Linked DNA regions of Neodiprion lecontei. The protein of the gene in region 1 interacts with the protein of each later gene in a pairwise test. Links are inferred from orthologs where the notes say so. Each region holds a gene or a part of one and is shown in the gene's direction. Other genes may lie near its edges. The genes, in order: protein arginine N-methyltransferase 6, 60S ribosomal protein L12 and N-terminal Xaa-Pro-Lys N-methyltransferase 1.

What was found.
Region 2: the proteins of protein arginine N-methyltransferase 6 (region 1) and 60S ribosomal protein L12 interact in a two-hybrid assay, tested with the Drosophila melanogaster proteins (2 studies listed by BioGRID). The link is inferred for Neodiprion lecontei from reciprocal best matches to the Drosophila melanogaster genes Art8 and RpL12.
Region 3: the proteins of protein arginine N-methyltransferase 6 (region 1) and N-terminal Xaa-Pro-Lys N-methyltransferase 1 interact in a two-hybrid assay, tested with the Drosophila melanogaster proteins (2 studies listed by BioGRID). The link is inferred for Neodiprion lecontei from reciprocal best matches to the Drosophila melanogaster genes Art8 and Ntmt.

What each region holds. Positions count from the first base shown.
Region 1 is NC_060260.1:29,298,939-29,303,775, reverse strand, and holds protein arginine N-methyltransferase 6, read left to right. Parts: upstream 1-1,773; 5' UTR 1,774-1,947; coding exon 1,948-2,001; intron 2,002-2,161; coding exon 2,162-2,276; intron 2,277-2,413; coding exon 2,414-2,780; intron 2,781-2,945; coding exon 2,946-3,459; 3' UTR 3,460-4,336; downstream 4,337-4,837. Other genes in the region: lysM and putative peptidoglycan-binding domain-containing protein 3, read left to right, coding at 4,745-4,794.
Region 2 is NC_060266.1:224,914-228,384, forward strand, and holds 60S ribosomal protein L12, read left to right. Parts: upstream 1-1,632; 5' UTR 1,633-1,737; coding exon 1,738-1,774; intron 1,775-1,887; coding exon 1,888-1,961; intron 1,962-2,054; coding exon 2,055-2,441; 3' UTR 2,442-2,445; intron 2,446-2,911; 3' UTR 2,912-2,955; downstream 2,956-3,471. Other genes in the region: cilia- and flagella-associated protein 52, read right to left, coding at 1-239, 323-572, 638-815, 881-1,080, 1,165-1,210.
Region 3 is NC_060261.1:34,123,932-34,127,874, reverse strand, and holds N-terminal Xaa-Pro-Lys N-methyltransferase 1, read left to right. Parts: upstream 1-1,685; 5' UTR 1,686-1,809; coding exon 1,810-1,977; intron 1,978-2,184; coding exon 2,185-2,371; intron 2,372-2,450; coding exon 2,451-2,559; exon of another isoform or gene 2,560-2,681; coding exon 2,682-2,937; 3' UTR 2,938-3,227; downstream 3,228-3,943. Other genes in the region: probable pre-mRNA-splicing factor ATP-dependent RNA helicase mog-4, read right to left, coding at 1-221, 307-509, 584-825, 908-1,076, 1,170-1,338; heparin sulfate O-sulfotransferase, read right to left, coding at 3,228-3,439, 3,622-3,779, 3,902-3,943. UniProt on the Drosophila melanogaster protein: Alpha-N-methyltransferase that methylates the N-terminus of target proteins containing the N-terminal motif [Ala/Pro/Ser]-Pro-Lys when the initiator Met is cleaved.

The sequences.
Region 1 (4,837 bases):
AATAAATACATACGATGGCACATGTTCTTTGCCAGAGTTATTAACAATTCACCAAAGAATACATATCAATTTACTGTGTCATTAACTGCTTTCAGAACTCGAAAGATAGAATTATAGTCAAGAAAATAGAACTCTGTTTCTTGAATCAATTTTCAAATGCTTTCCATTTTTAAACGCGTCAACGAAAGAAAACAACATCGAATTTAGTTCTGAGCATCACCGTCGTCACGCTAGCGGCGCTTGAGAGCTCGGCCGCCATTACGCGACGCCCACTGGCCAGTGATAGTTGATCATGGAAGTGGAACTGGTCGAATGTTGGCGAATAGCGTGCTTGACCCGTGTCCCGGTACGTTTAACCATGTTTAACTCGGTATTATGATTAGGTGTAAGTTTTTCTTACGAGTAGATTCCTTTAATCGGTTGACATAACAGTCGTGAGTGGATAAATTTGCTGTTTAATCACTCGGCGTAAGGCATACTAAACTTCGACAATCTTAAACAAGTGACTGCAACCGCGTTGAATATGTCAATTGTTTTACCTATTTGTTGCGACGCGACGTAATCAAGAAGTTGTTTTCTCCTATTCGCGTTCTCAGAAATATAGACTTGTTTAGCTTTGTCACAGCGTTTGGAGCTTACCCAAAGTGTCTAACATAAAACTAGATTCTCTACGTTTTTGCTACGAAATTATTACCGTGATCGTTAGATTCGTACTGGCGATTAAAATTCAGTGTAATGTCTTACACGTTTACTCTTCTACCATGTTGAAGTTATAAGTGACCTTATCGGAACAATTCATGTCGAGGAAAAACCGTTACTTCGTGATTTTGAAAATTGTTTGAAATTTAGTAAACCATAATAAATCAAAACATACTCATATACTGAAATTTTCGTTCCTTCAGTCAGTTTAAAAATGAAAAAATACTGATTTTTTTCGCAATGTTTCATTACGGTAACGTTACTAACTTCAGTCTTGTGATATTTTGAAAATGGTCGAATTCGTAATTCTTGTGTAACTTTTCGAGGTAATTATCTTTGAACTTTCTTAGTGTCGTGTTTACGGATAATAAAATAGTGATAGTGAGCTACCCGCTTGAGTGTGTTTGTGCGTTCAGATTGATCGTGAAAAGTGTATGTGAATATCCAGTGCATTTAATATACATACATCAAATTCAGGAGCCGGCTCGATGCAGCCGTAAGTGCATCAAAGTGATCAAGAGTGACATCCTGCAGGCGCTGAGCTCAAATGGCGAGATGACAAAAATTAGGTACGCCCCTGCTCTTTTTGGGTAAGAATATATTTTCATCGAACCAATTTATACTGAATCGGTGTCAATGTGTTGTGATATCGCATCAGGATAGATTCTAATACATAATTTATGGCTGCACAGGTATATTCTAAAGTGTATGTTTTTATTCTGTACTTTCCACCGTGCGTAGTATTAGCAAAGCTATATTAGAAACGCCGATTTTAAGATATAATGTAACAATTAGGCACTCTTTAGGTACTAGGTTAAAAGCTGCACTTATCAAGATGATTCAGATGCTTGGTTTTGTTTTATTAGAACATTTATTCTTACATTGCGTACATTACCACTAAAACATCGTTGAATCAGTCTTCGAGAAAATATGATAAAATTTCATCCTGTTTTGGATGCATTTTTGGATCTAGTCGCAGTCATTTGTTTTTGATAATCGCTACGTATCCATCAAGTCTGACTGCGCCTTTTGCGCGTAGACTCAATACTCCTCGTTTCCGAGAACAACCCGCACACTTCACGACGTCTCTTGGCTGTAACGCACGCACTCTTTAAATCTTGTATACACCGTGGCTGACAACGACATTCCGAAAATTGTAGGTTATGAGTGTCACGTGCAAGAGTTAGCCTAGCATACATCGTCGTAATTTTAGTTTTTAGGAAGATTGACAAAGAACGTAATTTAACAATGGACACCGGCGATTCAACAGATGAATATTTCAAGAGTTACGAGGATCTGGAAGTAAACATTCACTTACGTCACTATTGATATTTACTGATGGAGACAGTTTGAAAGGAAATGATTGATTGTTTGAATTAATATTATTATCCTCCTGTCGATCATTTCCTACTGACTTCTCACTGACGACGGTAGTTTTTTTTCATTGCGCTTGTCTCCACAGGTTCATCGACTGATGCTAGAGGATAAACCTCGTACCCTTGCTTACAAAAATGCAATATTTGCTTGTAGCGATAAATTTCAGAACAAAATTGTAATGGATGTTGGTGCTGGGACGGGTATGAAGTTAACACTTTTATCACATAATAATTAATGAAGTCGATTTGTTAATTATGCAAAGAACTTTAGTTGCGAAAATTTAGACACAAGTGAAGTCTTACCAGTAATATCTGCATTGATTGATGATTCTCAACAGGTATACTATCGGTGTTCTGTGCCAAAGCAGGTGCTGCAAAAGTTTATGCTATAGAAGCAAGCCACATGGCACAAGTAGCAAAAGAAGTAGTTCGCGAAAATGGTTTTGAAAGTATCATAGAAGTGATTCACAGTAAAGTAGAAGATTTAAAGAGTGATGATATCGGCAAAGTCGATATCATAGTCTCTGAATGGATGGGATTTCATTTGATGCACGAGGGAATGCTGGATTCGGTACTTGTGGCCAGAGATCAATTCTTGAAAGAAAATGGACTCATGTTCCCTAACGAGGCCAAACTTTATGCATCTCCTTGCGAATTACCCACTGTGTATGATTTTTGGAACGATGTATACGGAGTCAGTATGGAGTAAGGAAATACATTTGTTAGCATGGTCGACTATCAACATTAGTATTTAATTTCTGGTTGATTCTATAGATGCCATCACGAGTTTAAAACAGGCTGTCAGCATTCTGACTATAGCATGTTCAAGCCTTCCTTTCGTTTTAAAATTCTCTTACTTTTTTTGAATAGGTTTGTCAGCCGGGAACAGAGACGTTTGAAGTCTAAAAAGCCAAATATTTCGTCTTTAGAGGCAAATAACTTACTGACGGATGGAAAGCTGCTTGTTTGGCTGGATCTCAGTACAGCAACTATGCCAGAATTGTTATGTCTCGGTGGTGAATCTACGGTCGTACCGTGCAATCGGAACGGAATATATCAGGGCATTTGCGTATGGTTTTCCGTTACATTTCCGGATGGTTCGGAATTATCGACTAGTCCAGAGTATGAATCAACTCATTGGAAACAAAGTATTGTAGTACTCCCACACGATATTCCGGTAACGAAAGATGAACCAGTAGCATTCAAGCTCGAACTCCGTAAGGATTCTTTGAAACCAAGAATTTATAATGTGGAATATACTCAGTTAGACCCAGAAAACGTCGAACACGATATTCCCTGTCATTGTTATATGACCAAGTGTTTAGTAATAAAAGCTTATCTCTCTGAACATCCAGAGGAAGATATCCAGGGTAGAGAAACTTAATTTTTACTACGAAGTCACATGTTTTGTGATTTCAAGTACCATACTGCATCTATTCTTGCTTATGCAAGTTTCCTTGTGAATAAGCATATGGGTTAATTCTCGCGAAACGGGACGGGTTTCAACGGATGGTCATCGAATTTGACGCGCGGCTAGAATCTCATTCCTTACTATCTTGTGAAGACTCTTCCATAGTGTTGGGTTCATACATAAATTCTTGACTCCTCGCTAACCGTGATTGAACGAATTTTCCTTGGACTACTCAGTTCACTTGGAAATTTTACCGATCACAGTTCAAGTTGTTAAAAAAGTGTGCTATAATTTTCAGCTGGGCGTTTGATTTTGTTCACTGGCAATCAATTATCGCAAAAATTGGATTGAAAATTGAAACAGTTTTCTTTTTCAATCATTTTCTACCGACAAACAAGCAAGAAAAATGTCCAGCTAAAAATTATACCACAACTTTTATCACAACCTGAACTGTGTGCAGTAAATTTTTCAAGCGAATCGAGTAGAGTACAGAAAATCCTTCAATCGTGATTTGCGGGGAATCAATTTTTGCTTGCGACCCAAAACCATAGAAGACTCTTCACTAGATAGTAAGGAATGAGATTCTACCCGATATGAACCTACATAGAATGTTCAATTGTTATATTTGTTTAAATATTTCAGATACATTTTATGTAACTTTTATTAAAGATGTCTGCAATTTTAAGTAAGCCATTTTTTGATACAAATAATTCTGTAGTATTTGTTGTTATGTGGTATAAAAGCCGGATCTAAAGACTACTATTTGTACATGGGATTTTACTTCCAACTATTTTTTAAATAATTTGGAAATAAATTGTGCCCATTGAAGTAAGGGTGCTCAGAAAAAATGGTGTAATACATAAATTTTCCTGCACACTTTGACAGTACTACGTTCTAGTCTGTACGTGTCTACCTGAGTTTTTATCCCGCATAGATTGTCGATTTAACGATGAATTTGTCGGATTTCTTTTTACCATTACTCCTGAAAAAAGCTCGTGTTACGTCATACGCGTATGTTTAGTTGCCTGCCGTTAGGCGTACAGTCAATCGGCGTGATTATAATGGTACGCTTGTTTTATTTGCATGGAGAGAACCGACTGGATATGAATGACATTTGCAGAAGAAAAAAAAAGTAAAACAGCTGACAATTATAATTTTTACTTGAAAGGTTATGGAATGTAGTCAGTTATTTCAATACTGCGAACAACAAGTAGTAATCAAGTGAGCACAGTGAAATGTTATCGTAATATTAACAAAGATGCGAAAAATATCACTCAGTAACGGAAATGATGGGCAGAGATCGGGAAGGTAACTGACGTTCTTCTCAAGGTTATGTTTATCCCAAGATGAT
Region 2 (3,471 bases), on another chromosome or scaffold:
CCTCTCCAAAATTTGGCACTGGTTCGCTTTCCAATATCTTGACCAATTCCACTGTTCCATCTCCTGCTCCAACCACCAGTCTCTCATTGCCAAGCAAGGTCAAACCAGTAATGCCTCCCGCGTACAATATCGCCTCAGTATTTGTTTTTTTTATATTCTTAGGGACTTTTGAGTAGCAGCCAACCATCACTGGGGTTTTCACTGGCTCCATGAACTCCATATTATGATAGAAGTTTAGCCTGAGTGAGAAAGTAAAAAGGTAAGTGCCAAGAACGCATTGTGTTTTTAAATCGCTGACGATCCGCTCCTTCTCATCTTATACCTCGCTCTGATCAGATCCCCCGAAGTTGTTCCACAGTAAGCATTCTCGTCCCTAGGATCGACAACAATGCAGTTGACGGACCTCCGCAATTTTCCTACTTTCACGTTAACTCCGTAGACCTTTCGAGTCTCTCGGTATATTCTCCAGACCTTCAGCGTTCTGTCGCCGCCTGTTATAAAGCACAAGTCGCGTAGGTTCATTCTTGTTATCGTCCATGCGTCACCAGCAATTTCGTTGCTCGCGTACGACCCTGAAATTTGGTGAATGGTTTATTCAGTAGCGACATATCAACAGGGGTTCAGCAAAGTTAATTACCGCACATCGCGTCGCCCTGGCTTATGTCCCAGACAACAACGTTACCGTCGTCTCGTCCCCCCAGACTGATAAGAAAGCCGCTTTCACAGGTGAAGCAGACGTCCTCTACGCGAGCTTTGTGTATTTCGTGGCTTCCCTTTATCGATAAGTCTTTGTAATTCCAGACGATCACCATCGCCTGAAATAATTCACAATTAATTGCCGAGCGTCTGATCTAAGGGTTTGAGCCGCTGTAAATCACACCTTGAAGCCAACGTGATTTATCTGTCCAGACCCAACATAATTTCCACAAGGTGAGACGCAGACTGCGGATATGACGTTTGTGTGACCGGTGAGAAACTTCTGCTTTCCAGAGGCTATATTTTTTATTGTCACCTTGTTGCCCATTGCGTAGATCAGGTGCTCATTGTCAGGGTGAAGCTGAAGGCCCTTTCGGCTCACACCTGTCATTTAAAATATTAAAAATGAGACTATGAAGCGGAGAATTTCTCGGAAGAGGTATTGAGTAAGCGTAGGAAACTACGAACCATCGAAAGCTATTATTCCTTCCAACTCGAGATTCTCCACGTCCATTTTTACCCTTTTAAAAATTACCCCAAAGGCTAGCTTGTTCAGTTAAAATTGTTCACCGCTTAGCATTTGAGCGACATTAGACACTTCTGTCAAATTATTTCTGACTCAGCGTGCATTGAATGGTTACGGGGATTACAATTCCCCTCCCGTTTCCATGGAAACGCGGGACGTCAAGTTTAAATTCAAAGCGAAGCAACCTACCACGTGAACCAAGTGATGCTTCGATGAAGCGAAGTCATGGGATGAACAACAAAATTGTGGTAAAGAGAATGAATTAGAGGGTACGGTAAATTATTAGCTTGGGAATTGAAAGAATTCATATCCAAGATTTCGAATCGTCGCAATTTCATCAAATAGGTAATGTATCCGGGACTCAAGTAGTCTGCATCTGCTTAGGCCGAGCGCTACTAACTTCCGGCCTCCCAAAGGTCCGCCTTTCCTAAGCGCGATCCCCGCGAGTTCGCATCGTTTGTGAATCTATCATAATCGGGATCGTGTAACGTAATTTAATTAACCAGCGCATCACCATGCCTCCTAAATTCGATCCTACCGAAGTTAAGAAAGGTACGTACTCGTTACTTCCGTCCTTGAATCTCCTCAATAAAAATTATGAACCTTAATTTCGAGCTTTTTCACACGTGTCACGTATGTTGCATTATATTTTACTATTCTTACAGTCTACCTTCGATGTGTTGGAGGAGAAGTCGGTGCGACCTCTTCCCTTGCTCCGAAAATCGGTCCTCTCGGTTTGGTGGGTGAAAAACCACGATCAATCTAACCTAACCTATCCGTAATCTACACGGTCGTTTTTTTGTTTTTTTATTAACGCCCCTTACTCTCACAGTCTCCGAAAAAAGTCGGTGACGACATCGCGAAGGCGACCAGCGACTGGAAGGGTCTAAAAATTACAGTGCAGCTGACTATCCAGAACAGGCAGGCGACTATATCCGTTGTGCCGTCAGCAGCGTCACTGATCATAAAGGCACTGAAGGAGCCGCCGAGGGACAGAAAGAAACAGAAGAACATCAAGCACAGTGGTAATCTCTCTATGGACGAAGTCATAAGCATCGCTCGTGTCATGAGGCCCAGATCCATGTCCCGGGAGCTCAGCGGAACCATAAGAGAAATCCTTGGCACCTGCCAGTCTGTTGGCTGCACCGTCGAAGGACGCCCCCCACACGATCTTATAGATGAGATCAATGCTGGGCAGTTGGAAACTCCGGAAGAATAAAATGGTGGGTACAGGGCCCTGCGCTTGCGTCTTAGGTCGTTGCAACGGTGTTTATCTTGCAAGAAGTAAAGATGTCGTTAGTTCAAAAAGAGAATGCTTTGGCGCGATTTCTTTTGTTATTCATCCCTTGCCGGTGCAAATGAAAGCGTGAGCTTAGGGCTCTTGGTAGGGGTTGGCATCCCATCCACCTGATGGGTACCGATCAGAAACATGGCGACACTGTTTCTGGCCGGATTATACTGATCAGGCACTTGTGGCCATTGGGGAGAAAACCCCAACAACAAATCTGGCATATTAAAAACTGAAATATTGTGAACTCGTGCTACGATTGCTTCAAGTTTTTCTTACTTTTATTTTACTATCTGTAGTTTGGGGGTGTGGTAAAAGAAACTTTGAACACACATTACAGCCAGAGTTTGCAATAATGAATTTTAGACTCACCATCAACTCGGATTTTTTTACTGTTTCAGATGATTGAAGGAGGTTAAAATTGAATAAAGAAAATCTTATCAAACAACTTTTTTTTATTCACCCTAATCATATTGTTCTCCAACCTTATTACGTGTTTAATTTCATTGATCCTGCCTATAATATTATTTTTTCCTAAGATCGATCAATATTGTTATTAGAATTTGTAAGAACTCTGTCTTTCAACGAACATTAAAAATCAGTTATTCATCGGATTTGAATAATTCCCGGGCCAAAATGAGTGTGGCCAACTTCGCGTCCTAGTCGTCCATCTCGAATGTCGAACTTGCAATTAGTTCGATTCCTAAACGGCTCGGACTTCACGCAGGTGTCAAAAATTGCGACGACTCCGATTCAACTTCACGGTGTTCGTTTCACGGTGAAGTGACAGTTGCGATCTGATCACTGGATGATCATAAGATTACTATCTGGCCAGCGTTCCAGCTCAGTGGGTTTTTTTTTCTCGTATGTGTTTACGTATTACCTACTATCGTCCCTCAATTTCGGCGACAAACGAACGTCGACATTACGTATGGCAGGAAGAAGCCCGCGCCTCGACAGT
Region 3 (3,943 bases), on another chromosome or scaffold:
CGCTGAGAAGTACAGTCTTCAAATCGAATAGCATATCCAACTTCGTTTCCTAATTTAACAGCCATTTCATGTGCAACTCTTGCGGCAACAGACATTGCAGCAACTCTTCTGGGCTGAGTGCAGCCTATGACTTTACTGTCATCAGCAAAACCAGCCTGATATAAATACTGTGGAATCTGAGTTGTTTTGCCAGAACCAGTTTCGCCCTCAATAATTAACACCTGTTCAGACATAACATAAATCTTACAGTAAAAAAAGTACAAGGCAAATGAATGAGAGTAACGTAATACAGATATCAAATTTCACCTGATGATCCCTGATAGCCTGTATCAAGTCATTTTTAAAAGGATATATAGGAAGACTTTTCTGTGTCTCTTCAATGGTAGTTAAAACTTTCATTTCCTTCGGAGGAGAAACAGCTTGTTTCTTATGCTTGGAGCTTCCTGGTATCTGCAGCGCCTGGACAAACTCTACTTCATCTTCCAGCAACAGATCATAATCCTGTTTAGCTGTAAAAAATTAAATATTCCTTAAAAATTATAAATAAGCAAATCTTACTGATAATTGTGAGAAGAATTATTACCTTTTCTATCTTTTGCCCCAAAACGAAATACTGCTGATGACATCTGGTCCGACTCCCATTTGCTTTGCTCAGATTGCGGTGGTTCTGGGTCAACAGTTTCAGGCTCAACAGCATCTTTGCCTCGTTCATGAGGCATGTGATACCTTTGCACCCGTTCCATTTCACGCGCCTTCTCATGCTCTTTGGCAAGCTGAAGTAGCTGCTTTTTATGTTCTCGTTCCCTCTTTTCGCGCTCAGTCAGGCTGTTAAATGAATTTGATTTATAATTTTGAAAATCAATACTTCAATCCAACCAGAAAAGTATTCTACTCCTGTAAAACTCACATCTCATCTCCAAAGAGATATTCATCGTCTAATATGTCAGCCTCGAGCTCAGCTACCTTATCTTCCTTTCGTTTCTCTAAATACTTCCTCCGCGATTCGACGCGAAGTTTAGGAATAAGCTTATCACGAGATTGAGTTTCCATAACCTTAAGTCTCTTGGCTGCTTCCGCTGCAAATTTGATAATATTAAGTGTATGAATGTCACCACTAAGTGATTGTATAAAGCTGATAAAACAACTTAGGACATTTTGCCTAAACTTACCAGCCCCGGATCCAGCTGGTGTAGCAACCTTGCGCACCTTCGTATCATCTTTGGACTTGAGACGTTTGGCAAATTCATCCCTTTCCTTAATATCCCTTTTGCGCCTCTCCTCTTCGCTGTCACTGTCACTGTCTTCTGGCGACGATTGCTTCCTCCTATACTTGCTCATTTTCTGTTTCTAAAATCCTCAACGACTCATCTAGGCTAAGTCCTGAATTATATCACAACGGTTAGTAACTGAAATGAAGGTTGAAGCAGATTATTAAATTTCGATGTTATCGCTGGACAACAGATGAATACTCACTAACAGTTCTGGTAAATGTATGAAAACTGTTTAACGTGCGTATTTTACGGGACCGGGAATGATAATACGATTGTTAAACAACAAACCACGATACAAAAAAACCTGACCACTAATTTGAAATAGTTTGAAATCAGCCATAAAAATCGTGTTTGAGATGCACACACATTCGGGTAAATAAGTTTGCCTTTTGGAACGGTCGAGGAAAACAATAATAATCATAATAAAGTCACAATATAAAAATTGAATAACCCGGGTACATTTTAAAATTACACAATGAAAGTGATGTGTATAACAAATTAGAAAAAGTGCTCAAATCTTAAAAATATCAATTTAGTAATGGATGATATTCAGAAAAATGACAAAAGGACTGAAAATTTTTATTCCGACGCTGCCAACTACTGGTCTAAAGTCCCAGCCACAGAGGATGGAATGTTAGGAGGATTTGGGTTCATTTCGAACACAGATATCGAAGGGTCGGAATTATTTCTAAGATCAGCCTTCAAGGTACGGTATTCAGTCAAATTTACACAAAATTGTGTTTCATAAATATTTTATTGATGCTCGCCACATTGATGCCGAGATACCTAGGAACGTAACCTCAAAATTCAAACCCACATGTGCTTTCGTATAATTTTGGAATCCATCTGAAGGCTGATTCCAAAAATATATTTTGATCTATATTCTGTGATTTCCATATAACGCACGTTTCAGTTAAAAAATCCTCCGAGAAAAGAATATGCTTTAGACTGTGGTTCTGGGATTGGCAGAATATCAAAACATCTACTTACCAAACACTTCAAAAAAGTTGATTTGGTTGAGCAAAATTCCGAGTTTCTAGAAGCAGCAAAAACTTACCTCGCTGGTCGTACAAAAAGAGTTGGGGAATTTTTTCCCATAGGTATGAAAGTAAAAGCCTGAGAATCTTAAATAATTTACATATAATACATGTAATACTTTACAGGATATTACTCTTACAGGTCTGCAAAACTTTTGTCCTGAAGTAGGGAAGTATGATGTCATATGGTGTCAATGGGTTTTAGGACATCTACAAGATAACGATTTTATAAAATTTTTCAGCCACTGTCAGTTAGTAACATTTGCTATTCATATTTTGTTTCAGTATTGTAATTTACAGTGGAAATGAGAATTTACCGTATAATTTACAATGTAAAATAGTAATCTGTAACTTTGTAAAATATATTCAACAGGGCAGGACTCAAAGAGAATGGCGTGGTAATAGTAAAAGAAAATATAACAAGTTCTGAAAACGTTGAAGTTGATACACAGGATTCCTCAGTAACACGCCCACTGAAGGAATTACAACGTTTATTCGATCTGGCTGGATTTTCTTCTGTAAAGGAACAAAAACAATCCAGACTTCCACGAGGTCTTTATCCTGTTTATATGTTCATATTACGACCTAGAAAAATCATACGGAATTCTGTGAGCAATGTACTACAGTAGAAATAAATAGTTCACAATTATCACATAGATCAGTTTAATTCCGACATTGCACACAACAATAAATATATATATATGATGATTGTTAATATTTAATTCTTTGATATGAATGAAATTGTAAAGAAAAACAAGAAAGACCACTTGAAAACCATACACAAGAATAATTTTTAAAAATTTTAACACTTTTTAATTCAATAAAGTTTATACTCAACTGGTTTAATTTTTTCAGATACAAAGTGTCGATTCACTAAATAAAAATATTTCAATACTCTTAAATTTACCATAGTTTAATTTCATTTTGGTCTGATTTTTTCATACATGAAGTGTTGATTCGCTTCCTGCGGCGTTGAGTTTATAACACGCTTTTTTACTGCGTGAAAATGAGCCAAAACATGCATGTATAAATCATTCTCCATCTGCCATACTTGCGAATTTTGAATTTTCTTCACAGTTTCTGGGAGAGGGTCAATTTTTTGGGTAGTTTGTCGTAAGTGGGACTTGCTATCTGAAAAAATTAATTGATTTGAGATTTTTTTAAATTATCACAAACTGTAGTTGCGTTATATTGTAAAGACATTGCCAGTGGATAAAAGTAGTAGACTAGAAAAATTATTAAAAATTTGATTGAATTTTAAAACATGCTATGCTTTACTATTATCAATCCTTAATATCTAACACGTGTCTTACTATGCATAAAGTGATCATAGGCTCCTTTGAAAAATCGTGGTAGTGTAGCCTGAAGAGTTTGTACAAATTCTGGTAATTCTTCTGTGACTCCAACTAGGAGGTAGTGTTTTTCTACATTTCTTTTAGCTTCTGCAACTGCCCATGGATTACCGACTTCCCTTTAATCAATTAAATCATTACATTCAACTAAATATACGTTTGTGATTATAAAAGATAAGAAATTGCACAATAATTCTCAGTCAATTGATTTCCAAGCATATTAAGTGTAAAAACTTCATACCAACAAGCAGGTTCGTGTCCACAGAGGAACGGAACTTGAAGC